7 linked regions of the Kluyveromyces lactis genome follow. The protein of the gene in region 7 binds, or shares a complex with, the protein of the main gene of each other region. Links are inferred from orthologs where the notes say so. Each region holds a gene or a part of one and is shown on either strand. Other genes may lie near its edges. The genes, in order: SMD1, PRP8, SMD2, SMX2, SME1, RSA1 and SNU13.

Region 1 (2,179 bases), on a different chromosome or scaffold from region 7:
AGAGAGATTCTTTCCTTGAAGAATGAAAGTAATATTTTATCAGAATGGATCAAGACCCTTATTTCTTGAATTTCTTCAAATAAATATTCTGAGCCGTACCCAGAATTGCGTATGCCAAACTAAAAAATACGGACCATTTATCTGGTGAAATGTATCTTTGAGCAATTGACATCAATACCGTTGATGTTGCCAAGCTGGAAGACAACATTGCCGCATATCTTGTCTTGATTGCGTGTATAATTTTTGTTTTGTCAACCTTACCGTTGTTAACAGAAGTCAAGGTAAATAGTAACCCTAACACTTGAATAGGCGATACCATGCCTAATGAGCAGCCTAACTGGACCAAGCTTCTATATTTGGATACCACTTTCCTAATTGTGTATTCGTTTATCCATTTGTAACTGAAATGATTAACTGGTGCGTTAAATAGACCACCATATAGACTCATCAATGCCACTTTGATCCAATTTAGCTTCTCTTTTCTTTCCTCTGGAGACAGACTAACCCATTGACTGAACAGTTCGCTTAACCCAGTTAATACCGCGCCTGTTATGCATTTAGTTAATAACGGGTTACGTTTGAGTAAAATATTATATCTCTTCAAGATTACTGATGACGACATGTTTACTCTTGGCGTTAATCTTTAATACTCCCAATCTCTCGATGCGAGCAGCAGTAACCTTGAAAGCTTGCGATCCATGAGATATGAAAAGAGTAATATCTGACTTTAACATCTATATATATATATATATATATATATCCAGATTTTATCAAAGCAATGACTGACAGAACGTTTTGTTATCGCTTGCATGGATAGTTTCTTATCGCACTTCTCCGTGTATCTGTTAACCATTTAACATGAGATGCAACGGATCTAAATACTTTTTGGGTTCCATGTAAGATTCGAACACATGCTCGCTCGAATGTAAGAAACCATTGGAATCTCACGCAAATGAGTTACCCTGTTAAGGCACGTGATAATATGAAATTTCCACTCTTTTCCAGGAAAGAACGACCCCATTGATTCTTGAGTATCAATTTGAACCATTTCATCCATCATTATGTAGAATATGTCAATTGAGTAACTACGATCAAATCCTGATCTTTTATCAAAATCAGGAAGTTGCTTGTGGATCATCTGTTACTTTTGCAAAATTCAAAACTCTTTTTCATCAAAACCATTTGAAACTGGTAACAGCTTTCTGGTGTATCTTTAGTCCGATTGAAACAACGAAGTTTTATATACAGACAAAATGCAGTTAACAGGGTTCTTAAAGAAACTAAAGAATGAAAGGGTGTCTATAGAGTTGAAGAATGGTACCACTGTTTGGGGAATAGTGAGGAGTGTGTCACCGCAGATGAACGTCTCTCTTACTGACGTCAGGCTGACACTCCCTACTAAGACCTCAGAAGCTACCTTGGCTGCCGTCTTATTGTCAGGTGGATCGACACAAGGACAAGAATCTAAGAGAACAACTAGCCTCGAGTTCATCAACATTAGGGGTAATACGATAAGGCAGATTATTTTACCAGATAGTATCAATTTGGATGCGTTGCTTGTAGACCAACAGGAAGTCAACAGGTTGAGGAAACAAGGTAAAGTGGGAAGTGATCCGAATAAGAAGAGATCACTTGAGAGTAACGGGAATGCTCCTAAACGTCCAAAGAGGGCATTTTAATATACATCAGAAAACATATGTGGAAATAAATATGTAGTGATGTTATGGACTTTGTTTTGATGAATGATTAAACACTATTGATAATTATCTTTCATAATGAATAGCCGTTCTTTCCAGTCGATGCCTCCAAAAAAAGAAAGAATGGAATCAAATTTGATCACTGTCATCTCTTGGATCAGAGCTGGAGTCCGAGTCGCTTGAGCTCTCATCGTCCTCTTCATCGTCCCATATTTTACACCAATTGCATTTTCCTAAGGGGATGCCCCAAATTTCATTCCTGTCGCATAACCAGTCTATCAACTCATCGAAATGTATCAATTTAATCTCTTTTTTAATCGATGATGACCAACAATCCATATCTAACGAGTAACTTTTTAATTTTCTATGATCAAGTATATATTTCTTCATTAAATCATGTAATAAATTGAACGATATATCTTGCTCGGAAGGATTACTCTCAGTTAAGAAATAATACGAGATTCTCATATAACATAATACCA
Region 2 (4,300 bases), on a different chromosome or scaffold from region 7:
TCTTCGCTAAAAGCAGTTCCCATGAAAGCGTAATTCCATATCGATGACGAAGGTACCAAGAAATTGCCCATAATGCGTTCAGATAATAAAATCTGTGCAGTCTCGCTAAATGAAGCTTCAAACCCTTCTGGTGAAGGGTCCGTTATGTCTTTCGATTGTAAGCCCCAGTTGAAACCCGTAGTGCTTAACGTATATCCTGTAATTGATACGGCACCTGGGATTAGATTTATGCACAAATCAACAGCACTTTCGTTATGATCTGAAAACATTTTGGAATGAGTGATCACTTCAGATGGTGACATGAATTTGGAATCGACTTTTTGGGTATGTATCCATCCCAACAGTTCCATGTCGTTGAGATATTTGGAAGATGAGGGGGGAGGAGATATGCGAACAGTTGCGGAACTGCCGAGTTGAGGGACAAGTGCTATCGTCTTAATTTCCTTCACATTAGGGTGATCTTTTACAGGTGACCCGTACATATACCCTGCAATTTGGACATCGACATCAGCTATTGTGACAAACTTCTTCAACAAGTTCCGTGGGAATACGAGGACATCTTTATCTTCTACAAAATCTTCGGCAGTAACATATATGTTCTTAAGCTTCAAATGTAGCAATGAATTGGAGATTGCATTTGACCGCCAAGCATTTTTCGAACTGAAAGATTGGGACTCATAATTGCTGGATGACACCACTGTAATTTCTTCACCTTGAGCATTGATTGTTTTTAGCTTCATGGCTGCCGTGGCAGACTGCGACGACTCATCAGTTTTCTGATTTCTTGCAGCCTCCAATTCTGCCATCTTCTGCCTCTGAACAGATGGAGCTCTAATGTTCTGTCCTAAAATCAAATTCTTGATTTCAGTTTGAGTCAAAGAAGCAATGTTTACATTGTATTTTTGACCATACTCTAAGAGAATTAGATCACGCATCTTCGTCTCAATTTCAATCCACTGATCATCAGTAAAAGAAGGCCATAGATGATTAGCTCTCGTTGGGATTGTAGGATCCTCTAATAGAATCATTTTGGCTTTTTCTTCATTGGTTTTGAGCGCTCTTAATAGCAATATCAATCTAGAGAAAGCAGTGTAGGCAGAAACTCGAGTTAGCCAGTCATCATAAATGTTGAACAAAACCATCTGCGGTTCTGTAGCGCTTAAAACAACATCATTTAATTTTTCTATGTTCAAAACAGAAGAAAAAGGTAATCTGAGCTCAGTTGGACGAATCGAAATGTTTGGGAAATCTAACATGTGTACTTCCATAGGGTCCATCATAGCTTTTCTAGTAACTATAATTTGTTTAGGTTGTTCTTCTTTGGGTAACGATCTAACCAATGCACTTACTTCTTCTGCGGTTTTCCATTTTGCCAATTGAGCCAATCTGCTCTGCCCCGCCCACACCGAAGTGTGAATTATTTTCAAATATAGTTCACCTGTTTTCGGATTTAAAGTAAACACGCATCCGTTGATAGGCTTAGTAGCCACATTGCCTTCATAAGTTCTATGAACAGTGACCCGGTAAACATTCGTATCATCGATAAAGAATTTTGTGTCATTGGAAAATAGCTCTGCGTAGTTGGATGAGTTCAAAAATGGCTCTTGAACTTGAGATTGATATATCTGAAGACCTTTCCTGATACGCTCCCTCAAAACGTAAAGTGCTGGATTAGCTTTCATTATTGTTTTCATACCGTTGTGTATCAAGGGCTTCAATCCCTCAAACCACGTTCCATAGGAGTCGTAAATATTATAGGCCAAGTCAATACCGATCATAATACCAGTAGGAGACGGGTACAAGCTCACGTTATCTGTGGTGTAATCTAAAAATTTCGCACGGACATATCTTGATATATCATGAGAATCATAGTCACCATATCTAAGCTGCACATCGATCCACATTTTGTCAGTTGTGGTAGCGTCGAAAGAATCTTTCGTCTGATGCAACAATGTTGGTCTGCTAACCTTCCATTTGTAAATACTGTTCAATGTGATGTCAGCAGCAGACGAATTCATCTTATACGACTTACGTGGATGAATTGATTCTTTTTGAACAGATTCAATCTGTAGTATATCCATTTGGCCGTCCAGAATTTGACAGATGTCGAAAACCACACTTTCGTGGATTTTTTGCCATAGATGTGCTCGGAAAATTTGAATTAAAGATATCTTCAATGTTGGAATTTTACCGTGCAAGAATATTCCTGTTAAATCCAATTGCACCAAAAACCCAACGTAGACGTTCGCTCTATTAATCGTCGGAGACCACCATAACGTAAACCTACGATTAGGGATCTGACTCAAACCAGTTCTTTGTGCATGAGTAAGTTTCTTGAACTGCATTGAATCTTCAAAACCAGAGGCTTTCTCCCAGAAAAGTCCTTCCCATGATTTAAAGCCAGTTCCTTTAAATAATGTGTGCTCAAGAATTGTTTCGATACCCCCTAAGGCCTGAATGACATCCGTACGATAGGCATTCAAGTTCCATAATTTACCATCATGACGATTATTTGTCCACCAGAAAGCATTACTACGTTCCACTGAATACTCTTTGAATTGTCGCCTAATCCTGTGACCCTTATCATAGGCTAGCGTATGCCTATCTTTTTGGAATATGGTACTGATCCGCGGTATACCTCTATCCCAAGAACCCTCTAATTCTTCAAATGCCAACCTACGATTTTGTTTTATGGCTTCTTGTCTTTTAGCAGCATAATCCGCCCATACTCTCTGTGAGTCCAAAAATTCGTTCTCCCAGGTAGTAATGTATCGGAAAATTGTTGGTATCATCTTCTCATCTTCGTGGGACATCCCTGCCCTGAAATGTGTTATTCCAGTATCTGTGTGTTTTGACCACCTCAAGTCAGAAGCGGGAATTAAAATGTGCGATGCGCTGAGCATTCCCAAACCACCTAACTCTTTAGGTGTATAAAACACTGCTGGAGGGAACCTTGTTGGCATTTTAGAATTTAAGCCGAGTTTTACTCTATTTTGAACTCTAGTCTCAGATTTCACGAGTAAGTCGAGTAACGGTTCTGTCGTGACGATAGATTCTCTAAAATAGGTAAACAAAGCGATTAGTGCAGTATTCCATTTGCCCACAATTTTTGTAAAAGTTGTGGAGCCGGAACCCATCAAAATACTTTGAATACGACCTCTAAACTCATCAATAGCTTCTTGTGATACCTGTAAAAACGCTTTGGCAGTCCGTTCTTTTGTGGAGTCCAACACCAAATCCCATACACCCTCATCATGAGAAATGACATCTTCCATCCGAGATTTCGGTAGTATTCTCACCTCAAAACCGCACATAGTGAAAAGTAAATTAGGATTATTCTTGCTATAAACTGAAGAAAGAGTATTCTCCCACGTTATGTTAACAAGTGATTTTGGTACCCTAGATGTAAGTTCCCAGAAAACAGCACGACCTAGATTAACATCGTGTCTGATTAACCTCATGCGGGCGTCTCTAGGCCAGCATTTCTTGTTGTTATAACCAACAGAATTTTCAAAATTTGGATCGGGGTTTTCCATCAAATAGTCTTGGATAAGCTCATCAGACTCAGATTCTTCAAAGTGGAATAAAATATGGATTTTGTCAAGATAGCGTGAGTAGAGGCGAATTGGGCTCTTCGTTTCAGTAGCTTTATCTGGAAATTGCAAGAATTCAGATGGTTCGTTTGGAGGGCCTGCTAGTTCCTGTGCCCTTTCATGTCCCAAGATGAGAATATCAATCATTAAACCATAAAATTGATAAACAAATGGTGCAAATTGTAATCCCCTTATTAGACCATATTTGTTAACATGATTCATATCCTTAAAGATCAAACTGACATTATTCTTTGCAGTAATGTAATCCGCTAATGTCGGATCGATAATTAACCTTAGGAGCCTGTTTATTAGTGTCAAATCCATCTTTTCAACGAATTCTTGTAAATCAGTTTGCAACAATACGGTCGATTGCCCTTTGCTGATGTCCCATACAGAATCTAAGTTGTTAATGCCTTGACACCATTTGTAAACAAGAAGTGGCGGGATTTCTGAGTCACCTGGCTTTATCCAACTAGGGAAAAGCTGCCTTCTGTCAGCTTCATACCATAGATACTGGTCAAGATATGCATCGGTAATTTTCTCCAACGGATCAACGTTATAGACTGGAGATATGTGTTGATAATGATCCATCATTGTTAGTTGTATTGGCTTGAATAATCTTTGGGTTAGCAATAGTTTTTTAATTCTATTCAAGGTATCATGAGGATTGTCATATGCCTCTTCAATTAAAGCTAACTCTTCACGTT
Region 3 (2,300 bases), on a different chromosome or scaffold from region 7:
TAGTTTTTTAAAAGAGTTCATGAAAGTGAAAAATAAAAAAAAAAAAAAAAAATATGAAGAAATATCATTCGTGAAATATCCAAACTGAGTATTCGTTACGTTAAAACGGCAAAAATAGTGATTAGCAGTATACTGAATTTGGTAAGGCAACCCCTTAGCTGTAAAATAAGGGATGTATTGGGTTGTATGGTTTGAGCCGTATTATGTATTGATATCTAGTTCTATAGAGGATTAAACGGTTCTTTTGAGCTTGAATTACGTATTTTGAGTATGCGCCGTTTGGAATTCGACATATAAAAACTAGGGAGAATCCGGGCACAGATCAGAAAGTTACATTGGTTCAATGCGGTAAAGGCTTCACAGAAGATTAATGCATCTTTGTCCTGATATTTGATCAGATTATTAGCTCTATAACCCTTTTACTTGATGCTTTCAGTGGCAGCGAACATATCAGTACACGTGACTTCAGAAAGGATGTTGATGGGATGATAAAAACAGGTTCATGTCTTTACCACTATAATCACTGAGTCCCCTCTAAGAAAGAGTTTCGCTACGAATCGCTCTCTGTTAACCTTCTTACCATTTACATTCTCTGTCCATATTTCTTTAACGTTTTCCAGAACCATGTTACAGTGCTTGTCAAAAGATTTCACACGAGCTATGAGTTTATGATTGTTCCTTAGTGATATTATAACAGGTGTCCTCTGTAGCATTGATTCCCTGATTAGAGACATGGGTCCATATTTCATTTCGAATTCTTCTAGTTGTGTTAGCTCGTCTCTAGATAGTTCAGACCTTGAAAGGTCTGTCTTTGGAATATATGTATCGGCCATCGTGTTTTAGGTCAATTTTCTAGTATATGTAACAGACAAATCCTGAAGATAAGTCCTTGGCTTATGATATTTGCAATCTCGTAAGTTTGTGATAACTTGTCCTGATTGCCATATGATATGAGAGGTTCCTTCTTTGGTCATCTCATCATCTCATCCTGTGCATCAAACCCAATATACCATCCAGTTGTTTTCTTTCGGATTATCCAATTATCATTATCATTATCCGGGTAATCTTACACTATATAAATATCAACACATAGTCGCTGAAATTCCTTATACACAGTGGTACATATGAGTTATAGACAATGTTCAAGGAGGGGTTCCTGAATTTCATTTGCAACTTCATACTCCACTTCTATAAATATTCTGACCTTGATGTCTTAGTTGAATAGAATCATGTCTTTCTAACAGGTATAACGCCTTATCTAGCGCATATTGGGGAAGTTTCTTGTTCACAACGAATTCCCTTTGCAAAGTTTTGTAACTTGTAGACCATCCTATTGGCAACCTTCTTTTCAATTCAGATTCGATTCTTCTAATTTGTGAGAGCATTGTTGTATCATTTTCCTGGGAGTTGATAGGATCCTGAGAGGCAGCATCCATCGTAGAAGCTTGGAATAATCTAATGGCTTCATCAACATGTTTTTCGGTCGCTACTGGATTCAGTTCTAATTTAGCTAAAGATTCTGTGATACGAATTATGGCTTCTAATTGACGAACTGTGATTGGAATGGAAGACCTCTCATTGGAATGTCTTTCGGACTCTTGTAATTGTTTTCTAATAGTGATGAAATGAGAAGATAATTTTGTGGCTGCTTCAGGAGATAACCTGGGGGCACATTTTAACCTACAGTAACTAACATATCTCTTCATAGTTTCTATTGGAATTTCGTTGTTGGAGTTGGAATTATCATTTGGATCGTTTTGTTGAGTTCTTCCTGTGTGAATGTTCATGACGTGGTTCGCAATTTGGATATCTCTAGCTTCATTGTGATCATCTTTAACAATGAAGATCATATCGAATCTGGACAAGATGGTAGTTTGGAAATCAATGTTTTCACCCGGTGATTTCAAATCATCATATCTACCGTAAACAGGGTTTGCTGCAGCTAAGACACTAGTTCTAGAATTCAAAACGGTAGTGATACCGGCTTTAGCAATGGAAATAGTTTGTTGTTCCATGGCTTCATGGATGGCAACACGGTCCTCGTCTCTCATCTTGTCAAATTCGTCAATACAGACAACACCACCATCAGCAAGCACCATTGCACCTCCTTCTAGGTAAAATTCCCGTGTAGTTGGATCTCTTTGGACACTTGCCGTCAAACCAGCTGCAGAAGAACCTTTACCAGATGTATATACCGAAATCGGAGAAACTTTTTCCACAAATTTCAACAGTTGGGATTTTGCAGTACCAGGATCACCAAGCAGTAGCACGTTGATATCACCTCTTAGTCTCATACCATC
Region 4 (2,193 bases), on a different chromosome or scaffold from region 7:
ATGTCAAATTGAATTACCAATGCTACGATCCGTGTTCGTCATGTGATGGAAGTGGGTTGAAAGCTGGACATTCGAGAAGTGTTTGTCCTACATGTCATGGTACAGGTACTCAGGTACATGTAAGAGCAGGTTTCCAAATGGCCTCTACTTGTCAAACATGTGATGGTGAGGGTTCAACTATTAAGGACAGCGATAAATGTGGTACCTGTCATAGCCACGGTTTCAAATTGAATTCAAATAAAACTATCACCGTAGACTTACCTCACGGACTTCAGGACGGTGACACAATTAGAGTACCTAACCAAGGTAGTTACCCCGGTATGGCTATCGATCCGTCCATGAAATCTGAATTGCATTTAACCAGAGGCGATTTGTTGATTCGTGTCAGAGTCAGGAAAGACACAAGATTCCAAGTTTCAAATAATTACGACATCATTTACACTCAGGAAATCCCAATTACAACGGCAGCACTAGGTGGCGTCATTGAAGTACCCACCGTAGAGGAAGAAAAGATCAGATTGAAGGTCAGCTCTGGTACTCAACACGATCAAGTCATCAGAATTCCAAATAAGGGTGTCCCTCGTGGAGCTAGAGGTGACAGGGGTGACATGCTTGTCAAGTTCAAGATTGTTATCAAAAAACCAAAGGATGAAACAGAACGTTATCTATGGGAGACCTTGGCCCACTTGACCAATGATACCACTGCAAGAAGGACCATTACTCCCTCTGGATCGTCGGCTAAGGACAACTCTTCCTCTGCTGATAAAGACACAGTTGAAAACAATGAAGGAACCATCAAGAAATTGGAAAATTTCTTGTCTAACACTTTAAAGAAGATCAGAGGGGAATGAAATCCTTAAATCGCATATATGCTCTCCCGTCATACATTCCACCTTCATTCTTTCATAATTCTTTGATTGGATGAACTAATTACGACATTGGCATTCTCATTATTCATGTACCACTTACAGCAGTCATAGCCAGTAATTGCATATACTGCACATTATTTTATAAAACCCTTTAACATCATGTAAATACCAATTTCCCTATATATATATATAATTGCACTTAGCGCATAATACTTATCGTTTTGATATTCTCTTACTAGTTATCCCTACTTACCATATTTAGCTCGGGATTGAAATTCATGCCAATGACAACGAATGTTTTCAGTAAGGGTCGATATGCTTTAGTAACTTATTCTGACCATCGTTGTCTTCTTAACATTGTGACATTGAAAATTACTTTTGAATGGAAAAAGCATAATTATGTACAAAATTCATCAATTGAAATATACTGAAGATAAATTTCGAAGGACTTTTGCCAAGAGTTAAGAGACTATATCTACGACTTATCACTTCCGTACGACCCATTATAAACCATCCAATATTCCATGACATCTCCAGATTTGAGAAAAGTATGTTTACCCCTGTTTTCCAGGAAAAATCTTATCAGAATTTAAATTACTAACTATAATATGATTCGTTGCAAACAGTACATGGACAAGAAACTCATTCTACAGCTTAACGGCAATAGGAAAATTATTGGAATATTACGAGGATATGATGCATTTTTGAACTTAGTACTGGATAATCCAATACAGATTTTCGAAGAAGGAGAGGTCCAAATGGGACCCCAGACTGTTGTTAGAGGTAACTCCATTGTATCGATAGAACCTCTTGACAGTTTGTAAGAGCAGAAGGGAGACAAATACAACTCAATGTGTCGGAACACTTTACTTAGTGACATTTACGTACAATGAATTATGCTAGTAGAAAGGAAGGATAGATATGATAGAGCGCACACTGGTTACAACATCATTTGTCGAATCTGATTTGCATTTCGACACCAGCTTTTTTCAATCCACATTTCTCATAGAATCCAACATTACTTTCATCACAATCAAGAATAACTTTATAGCATCCATACTCGTTAGCTAATTTGTATAAATACTGAATTAATATCAATCCCAATTTCTTCCCCTGTTGATCTTTTCTCACTGCAATGTCTTCAATATGACCAACAAGCCCACATTCGTGAATAACTTTTTTCTCGACTAGCACGTTTCCTGTGGCGACAACTTCCCCATTTGTGTCAACGATCACAGTGCTATTGTACATAGGTATATCTCCTATCGTGACTGAATCCCAATGGTCTATTAGTGAATGGAATTGATCTTGGCTCACATCACCA
Region 5 (2,157 bases), on a different chromosome or scaffold from region 7:
AAGAAATAAGTTGTCTTTGTCGACTTCTCAACAAACAGCAAGAAACGAAGGTGAAATTTCGGATGCATTATTTGGTACTTTGGGCAACGGCAAATACGTAGGTTTGCCAATTGTGAAGGAATTTTTATCTGGTGAGATGGAACAATTTAACCAGGAAATTAATACCAAATTGGATGAATTAACTAAACAAGCGGAAGAACGTAAAGACTCTGTCCTTTGAGATATATCTTTTAGATAATATCACTGACACAAAAGAAACCATATGAACTTAAGGTATTCTCCCCAATCTGAGCAACACATTGTAAATAGATCCATAAGATTACGAACAATATATCTTTATTAGCCTTGATAGTGCTTGTCGCCGTTATCGAAATTTCAGTGCCTTTCATTTTTCCGTTATAATATACAGGCTTATATAATTACACGACAGAGTCCGATCAATGCTTCTACACTCTAAGCATCTTTCTTTCATCCTATTATCATTTTCTGAGTAGGCATTATCAATTTGCCACAACAAGTGTTATATTATCACCTTTCAACATAATTCTCCCAAGAAACACTGCTTTATCATCGCTCTCTTTACCACTTTTCGGATCTACAGCTATTTCGAAAGCGTCATCTATTACCACATTCATGAACTCATCAAAGCCTCTGATCTTGCCTCTTATACGTGTCTGTACTTGTTCGTATAACCAAAACGTTACTGTTGTCTGATGATGAAGGTAGTTGTATATGCAATTGATTGGAGGTACCATAGGAGCTCCTACTTTAGAGCCGGACATTTTAGACTTTTTCTAGAATCTTTCGGTGTATTGAAGGTCGATGTTAGTGTAACTATAATCAGATCGCAGTTATCCTTTATTAATGTCAGTCACTAGTGCCATGTTGAATTCGTTTGATATTAGTTTAATAGGATTATTGTTAACATATTAAAAAAATTTTATATATTGAATCAACCAAAACATTTGATCTTACTTATGCACTATAAAAGGAACTCATAAAAACTGCCACAGCAGATACCGTTGAGCAAGAACGACGTGATTGATCAATATTGATGTTGTATCAAATCCCAGATATCAAGAGTGCATTGATTTGTACTCAAAGTGTTTCTGAACAGGAGAAGAAGATACAAGCTTTACAATTTTTGGAGCAATTTCAAAAGAGCATAGAAGCATGGCAAATCTGCTTCGAAGTATTAAGCAAGCATGAAGCAGACAACTTACAGTTGCAAATGTTTGCTTGTCAAACTCTAGTGAACAAAGTCACCTATGATCTAAACCAGGTCAATACCGAATTAGAGAGTTTCAAGGGAAAGCTCTTTGAGTTCATCGCTATGTATGAAGAGAAGATCATAGTAACACAGTTGAACGTGGCACTAGCCCGATTTACCATTCAGTATCTTGATTGGAGGAATCCGCTAGTTGAAATTATTAATACTCTAAATGGTCTTCCGGGAAAGTTACTACTGTTTTTGAAGATTCTCCCAGAGGAAACATTGGATATCAAATCCACTCCTCTATCCCAAGATGAATTTGAGTGTAGAACACACGAACTTATAGATAACATTGGAGAAGACGTATTGAAATTTTTGATTTCATGTTTGGATAGAGTCGGAACTGAAGGCATATCTGCTTCTAAAATCATTTCGTGCTTTGGATCGTGGTGTTATGAATTTCCAATAGAACAGGTATTACAAGTGACTCCATTGATAAACACCGTGTTCCAAGTCTTGCATACTTCATATGATACTGATTCTGATTCTTTTGAAGCTGCAGTAGAATGCTTATGTGTGTTATTAAGAGAAACGAGAGACGCAGCCAACGATACAATCATACATGCGCTTTACGAGCAACTTTTAGCTTTGCAACAAAAGCTATTGCCAATCACAACCATTTCTGACTGGGAAGAATACGAAGAGATTATGGATCCACTCACACGTTTATTCGTTGAAGCTGGCGAAGCGTGGTGTGTTTTTCTTGCAAAGAATCCTGCCTTATTCAAACCATTGGTTGAAGTCATCTTGGTATTAACTTGCAAGAACACTGACCTCGATATCGTTTCGTATACTTTCCCATTTTGGTTTAATTTGAGGCAAATGTTAGTTTTACAACGTTACGCTCAACAAAGAAAAGAATATCAGGATGTATTTATTAATTT
Region 6 (2,719 bases), about 290 kb from region 7:
TAGTGTAATCTAAGCCATGGGAGAAAGAATGTTGTTTTGTCGGCAGGTTACATTTTCTCTTGCATCTAGGCTGTCTTGGCGACATTGGCGTCAGTAGCGTCAGCTTTCTTGCCACCTAGATAATGATGGTTTAAATATCTGTAACCTTGCACAAGTTGGGCTGTTTCATTCACAACGTGACAACCGAATAACAAGAAGTTCCTTGGGGTAACAGCTAGGGAATATCTCATAAACACACCAGAGTACATCACTAGAGCCAGCGTCATAGGTCCAGAAATCATCTCCGGATCCTTCTTCAAATCGTAGATGGCAGCAATTGGGATACCGAAGTTTGAAACTGGACCCCAGAAATGTGTGGTGAAGACATACTTTAAAGTTTCCTTGTTAATGTATTTGGAAATCAAAGATTGACTAGCAGCTCTCTGTACTGGTTGGGACATGATTCAGGGATTATAAACTGTTGCCGAAGTATAATTTACTGAGTTAATATTAACGTAAACCAAACTAAAAAAAGAAGGATAACAATGAATGAATGGGAAAACGAGAGGCCAACTAATAACTCAGATCGAGTACCAAGAAGTTCTTCAATGTACCTTTAAATCTTTTCTGAAAACATTTAAACATTTTTGTTGAGCTTTAAAAGTCTTCAAGGTTTCGAAGCTTGAAAAATTCACCGCTGCAATACGATTTTCACTGGTAAACCCGTTGGTGAGAGACTACCCACTGCACAGCTGATGGAAGTAAGAGGTATAAAACTACATACATGGAGGGGCCGCATAACCACCAACTTATAAGCCGACATATTGGGGGATAGATTTCTGATTACTCTCAGTGGTTAACTTGGTCAAAATCCGTCTCTCTTATGATTGGTAATAAGAAGACGTATATCAGTAAGGTCACGTGATATAGATGACACTGCGTAAAAGCTATAGCACCAGTGGAATGACTTGCGGGGACCCTTATGAGCCTGTTTGACTGTTACATATTTCAGAATATGTTTCACGGTTTACGAAGCATCAGTTACCGGTTTAAAACTTCAACACCTTTCTCCAGAACATTATGTATGTGAACGTAGGAAATTTCTTTTCATTATCTATTCATCTCATCTCATCTCATCTCATCTCATCTCTATCTGTTCAATTAATGAATATGATGGGAAGAAAGGCCCCAGGGAAGAGTATTCGAGCAACATGAATGGTCAAAACGTGTACAATAACTCTTCACAGGGCGGATCTGTGAATAATAATCTTTTGCAACATACGTTACAAACCACGCGAATGCAGTATTATCCGATACCTCAGATGAATCAACCCAACCAATACGGTGTCCCCGCTATGCAGCATGCACCAATGGGAATGAGATATGGGACCCACCATCCTTTCTATCCGAATCCGCACCAGTATCAACAGAGCTGGTATGGTTTTAATCAAGCGCAACCGCCATACGTGGATGTTACAAAATCAAGCAAGATCAATTATGATGATGAGGAAGAAGAAGAAGAGGAAGAGGTGATAGAGCACCAACAGTCAAATTTAGAGGCAAACGACAAAATCGAAGTACCCAAGAAGGGTCCTATCAAAAAGTTCGCCAATACCAATTTGAGGAATTCTGCTTTAGTTGAGAATAAAATAGCAAGTGATGAAGATGATAAAAGGAAAGAAGAAGAAGATGAAGAAGAAGAAGAAGCTTCTGCTGATGAAGATATCATAGAAACCGTCAAAGGATCAGATCTGTATATACCTGGAACTTCAATAGTGCTTAAAACGGAGGAGGATATCGCAAAATGGAAAGAAGAGAGAAGGAAGATGTGGTTAATAAAGATTTCAAATAAGAAAGAAATGTACAGAGAAAAGTTTAACGTCAAGGACGAAGACTTGAATCGTAATCCTCTCCAGGAGTCTAGAAAGGAGCGCTATTTTATTCAAAATATACAAAACCAAGTTAAAAGGTTTAATTATAAACCAAACTTGACGATAGGTCTTCATCAGAGAATCTTAAAAGAGGAAAACGGTAAGATCTTGGATTTCATCAAAGAACTTGGTGATGCCAATTATCTCAAATATGAACTTACAGAAGAAGAAAAAGAGGTGCTCTTTGGAGGCAAAGATCACAAGAATGACCAGAATAGACGCTCCAATAGGAGGTATGATAGGCAACTCAATCAACGTGATACTCAATACCGAAACCATTCAAGGAAAAGACCGATTGATGAGGTTTGAAAAAGGAAATCTTGCTTACTACTTTAACCCTTCCAATATAAAGTTAGTGACAGCTGAACCAATGAAAGTTCCTATTAAGATACCAGGGAAGAATTTATTCAATGCCTTTCCGTTATTATTGTCAGCAATATCAGCGTCATATTTTGCATCATCGTGGTACCGAGGTTTGTCAACTCGATATTTCATTTTGTGTCTTCCTTTAGAATGCCTCTTGCTCTTCCTCTTCTTATGTTTCTTCTTATCCTTGCTTTTAATACTCTCGTACTCTATATTGTGATTATCTGTATCGATCTTGGGGGAACTGACTTGTAGTATTCTCTGTGTACCATCAGTGCTCATGGCGGGCTCATCAATAAAAGTTGATTCATCTTGATTTGATAACATTCCATTATTTGAAGCAACCATTCTCAGTTGCATGAGTTGGATTACTGACCACTCCGGGAGTGTAGTTTTTAATCCGAATTGATGCCTATTCTAGTTCCTTTCCCTATTTTCACTTT
Region 7 (2,199 bases):
TCTTTTCCCTACCAACAATGTGTAATGGGTTAAACTTGAACATATTCGAGCAGCTACTGATGGACAGTCAGACTTCTTCCTCTAAGTTCATTTCAACAAACTTGTAAATTTAGGGTTGGATAGTCGAAAGCACAAAAGATTGTGTCAAATTTATTACTTTTTTTTACCAACTGACAATATCATCTGGAATACACAGGCCTGTAACCATTTCTTAATTTGAACAGACAAAAAAAAACTATGTACTGACCACTAACTAGAACCATCAGATGTTGATGTCATTGTTAAGAAGGATGCAAATGTATCAAAAAGTTGTATTAATTGTAATATATATGTTTAATATACAGAGGTCGTAAAAAAAAAATCTACCTGTCGATCACTTGAATCAATGAACGTGCAGTAAATCTTTTCTTTGCTATGCAAACCCCCCACAAAGCGGTTAACTCCTTAAACGATTGATATAAAGAATAAGAAAAGGAAATCACGAAATGTGCAAATCCTTCTTAAATCAACAAAGTTTCAATCTTGTCCTTAACGGCATAGATTTGGCTTTTGATAGCAGAAGCATCGTTAGTGGTAATAGAAGCAGCAATAACTGGTCTGGAAACACCACAAGCTCTACCCAAAGCAGTTCTGGATGGAACAAAGACGTATGGAACGTTCTTATCTTCACACAACAATGGCAAGTGCAACAAGATTTCAATAGGTTCACAGTCAGCAGCCATGATAATGAATTCGGAAATACCACGGTTCAAAGTCTTGGTAGCTTCGTTAGCACCCTTCTTCAATTGTCTCATGTTGGAAGCTTGTTGAACAACATCCAAGATTTGTTGGGACAAGGTGGCATCAGCCAATGGGAAAGCCTTTGGGTTTGGAGCAGACATTATTTCTTTATAATATGAAGTGAAGTATCCGATTGGGTCAGTTCAAGTTCCTTGCAAGAATGAAAAGCTCGCTTGAATCTGGTGTTTTAAGACTAGAAATAAGATCGGATCAAGTCCAAGTCTAAAAAAAGTTTTATCATAAAGTGAGATGAGATGGAACGAGATGAGATGAGGTTAGTCTCTTGAAATCATTTTCTTTAGTTTTTCAATTTTTGAAAATTTTCGAATTCCTCGACTGATGAGCAAAAAGAAACAAATGGGATCACAAACTGGTGTAATGTACGGCTGTTTCACTATATTAATTCAGAAGAACGATATACATTCCTCCTATTGTGATCATTTGGCCATTCTCCGCCATTGCTATAGTACTCTATTATGGTCTAAAACACGCAGTCTGTAGTTGTTGTTCCCCATCGTATGCTTCATACTTCCCCAGGAAGAGCTGCTTTCACTCTCAGTTCTTTACCTAATTTCAAAGGTGCATATTTCTTTGTATTGAAAAATGTACGTATTACAATATGTAAATTTATCAACTCATTTATGAATAAACTCATAGTATTGCCCTTGACTTAGGTATGACCCAATTGATGAGCAATAGCTAGCTATGACTGACCAAGAGGTAAATGAGGAGCAGGCTCTGCGAAATATACCAGAAGTCGGTAATTTCGATAAGTTCACTTCTGTGGATTGGATTGAGGAAGAGAAGCGTGAATTGTCCAAGGGAACATCGCATGACGAATTTGATATACCGCGTTCGAGTTGGTATGAGTACCGCAGGTTAATATGGAAAAGAGGTAGCAGTTTCATTACTTTGACTGCCATTGGGCTTTCCATTGGCGGTATTGCTGGTTTTTTACAAATATTCACTGAATTGTTAGTAAACTGGAAATCTGGACATTGTGCTAGAAATTGGTTGTTAAACAAGGCATTCTGCTGTCCTAAAGAAGAGATCAGTAAAAGGAGTTATGGTTCCATAATAAGTTCGGCTGGCAATGCCGCAGAAATATTCTTTAAAAGATCCCAAAGCGAATGTATCGAAAAAGGTATTTGGGTAGAAGCAACCAATCCAATCTTTTCATTTTTGCTATTCATGTTCTTATCGGTCACATTTGCAACTATTAGTTGTCTGATGGTCCTACACATTGCACCGTTTGCCACTGGATCTGGTATTTCAGAAATTAAATCCTGGGTATCAGGTTTCCAATATACCCCGGAGTTTTTGAATTTGAAGACCCTTATAGTAAAATCTGTCGCTTTACCGCTTGCCATTTCTTCTGATTTAAGTGTTGGTAAAGAGGGACCATCTGTTCACTATGCT

The links.
Region 1: SNU13 (region 7) and SMD1 share a complex: the UniProt entries of both Saccharomyces cerevisiae proteins name them as parts of the U4/U6-U5 tri-snRNP complex. The link is inferred for Kluyveromyces lactis from reciprocal best matches to the Saccharomyces cerevisiae genes SNU13 and SMD1.
Region 2: SNU13 (region 7) and PRP8 share a complex: the UniProt entries of both Saccharomyces cerevisiae proteins name them as parts of the U4/U6-U5 tri-snRNP complex. The link is inferred for Kluyveromyces lactis from reciprocal best matches to the Saccharomyces cerevisiae genes SNU13 and PRP8.
Region 3: SNU13 (region 7) and SMD2 share a complex: the UniProt entries of both Saccharomyces cerevisiae proteins name them as parts of the U4/U6-U5 tri-snRNP complex. The link is inferred for Kluyveromyces lactis from reciprocal best matches to the Saccharomyces cerevisiae genes SNU13 and SMD2.
Region 4: SNU13 (region 7) and SMX2 share a complex: the UniProt entries of both Saccharomyces cerevisiae proteins name them as parts of the U4/U6-U5 tri-snRNP complex. The link is inferred for Kluyveromyces lactis from reciprocal best matches to the Saccharomyces cerevisiae genes SNU13 and SMX2.
Region 5: SNU13 (region 7) and SME1 share a complex: the UniProt entries of both Saccharomyces cerevisiae proteins name them as parts of the U4/U6-U5 tri-snRNP complex. The link is inferred for Kluyveromyces lactis from reciprocal best matches to the Saccharomyces cerevisiae genes SNU13 and SME1.
Region 6: the proteins of SNU13 (region 7) and RSA1 are in contact, whole or in part, in a crystal structure (PDB 4NUT), measured with the Saccharomyces cerevisiae proteins. The link is inferred for Kluyveromyces lactis from reciprocal best matches to the Saccharomyces cerevisiae genes SNU13 and RSA1. Residues at the interface, in NP_010888.1 of Saccharomyces cerevisiae: Pro6, Lys7, Phe9, Pro10, Leu65, Pro68, Leu69, Cys71, Glu72, Asp73, Asn75, Val76, Pro77, Tyr78, Tyr115, Lys118, Asp119, Ile121, Glu122, Leu125; in NP_015131.1 of Saccharomyces cerevisiae: Val242, Trp245, Arg246, Arg249, Lys250, Met252, Trp253, Leu254, Lys256, Ile257, Ser258, Asn259, Asn260, Lys261, His264.

What each region holds. Positions count from the first base shown.
Region 1 is NC_006040.1:320,463-322,641, forward strand, and holds SMD1 (mRNA splicing protein SMD1), read left to right. Parts: upstream 1-1,253; coding exon 1,254-1,679; downstream 1,680-2,179. Other genes in the region: KLLA0_D03740g (uncharacterized protein), read left to right, coding at 1-69; KLLA0_D03751g (uncharacterized protein), read right to left, coding at 59-622; U4/U6-U5 snRNP complex subunit PRP38, read right to left, coding at 1,827-2,179. UniProt on the Saccharomyces cerevisiae protein: lays a role in pre-mRNA splicing as a core component of the spliceosomal U1, U2, U4 and U5 small nuclear ribonucleoproteins (snRNPs), the building blocks of the spliceosome. Also binds telomerase RNA and is required for its accumulation.
Region 2 is NC_006037.1:471,930-476,229, reverse strand, and holds part of PRP8 (U4/U6-U5 snRNP complex subunit PRP8), read right to left. Parts: coding exon 1-4,300. UniProt on the Saccharomyces cerevisiae protein: Functions as a scaffold that mediates the ordered assembly of spliceosomal proteins and snRNAs. Required for association of BRR2 with the spliceosomal U5 snRNP, and the subsequent assembly of the U4/U6-U5 tri-snRNP complex.
Region 3 is NC_006040.1:781,389-783,688, reverse strand, and holds SMD2 (mRNA splicing protein SMD2), read right to left. Parts: upstream 834-2,300; coding exon 501-833; downstream 1-500. Other genes in the region: MCM DNA helicase complex subunit MCM5, read right to left, coding at 1,176-2,300. UniProt on the Saccharomyces cerevisiae protein: Plays a role in pre-mRNA splicing as a core component of the spliceosomal U1, U2, U4 and U5 small nuclear ribonucleoproteins (snRNPs), the building blocks of the spliceosome.
Region 4 is NC_006040.1:658,744-660,936, forward strand, and holds SMX2 (mRNA splicing protein SMX2), read left to right. Parts: upstream 1-1,393; coding exon 1,394-1,417; intron 1,418-1,495; coding exon 1,496-1,693; downstream 1,694-2,193. Other genes in the region: MDJ1 (Mdj1p), read left to right, coding at 1-851; GNA1 (glucosamine 6-phosphate N-acetyltransferase), read right to left, coding at 1,818-2,193. UniProt on the Saccharomyces cerevisiae protein: Plays a role in pre-mRNA splicing as a core component of the spliceosomal U1, U2, U4 and U5 small nuclear ribonucleoproteins (snRNPs), the building blocks of the spliceosome.
Region 5 is NC_006037.1:204,513-206,669, forward strand, and holds SME1 (mRNA splicing protein SME1), read right to left. Parts: upstream 783-2,157; coding exon 501-782; downstream 1-500. Other genes in the region: mitochondrial 37S ribosomal protein PET123, read left to right, coding at 1-220; mRNA transport regulator MTR10, read left to right, coding at 1,055-2,157. UniProt on the Saccharomyces cerevisiae protein: Involved in pre-mRNA splicing. Binds and is required for the stability of snRNA U1, U2, U4 and U5 which contain a highly conserved structural motif called the Sm binding site. Involved in cap modification.
Region 6 is NC_006041.1:1,721,247-1,723,965, reverse strand, and holds RSA1 (Rsa1p), read left to right. Parts: upstream 1-1,190; coding exon 1,191-2,219; downstream 2,220-2,719. Other genes in the region: pyruvate transporter MPC1, read right to left, coding at 66-440; KLLA0_E19317g (uncharacterized protein), read right to left, coding at 2,238-2,636. UniProt on the Saccharomyces cerevisiae protein: Involved in a late nucleoplasmic step of 60S ribosomal subunit assembly.
Region 7 is NC_006041.1:2,008,844-2,011,042, reverse strand, and holds SNU13 (RNA binding protein SNU13), read right to left. Parts: upstream 882-2,199; coding exon 501-881; downstream 1-500. Other genes in the region: putative E3 ubiquitin-protein ligase HUL4, read right to left, coding at 1-43; GEF1 (Gef1p), read left to right, coding at 1,486-2,199. UniProt on the Saccharomyces cerevisiae protein: Common component of the spliceosome and rRNA processing machinery. In association with the spliceosomal U4/U6.U5 tri-snRNP particle, required for splicing of pre-mRNA.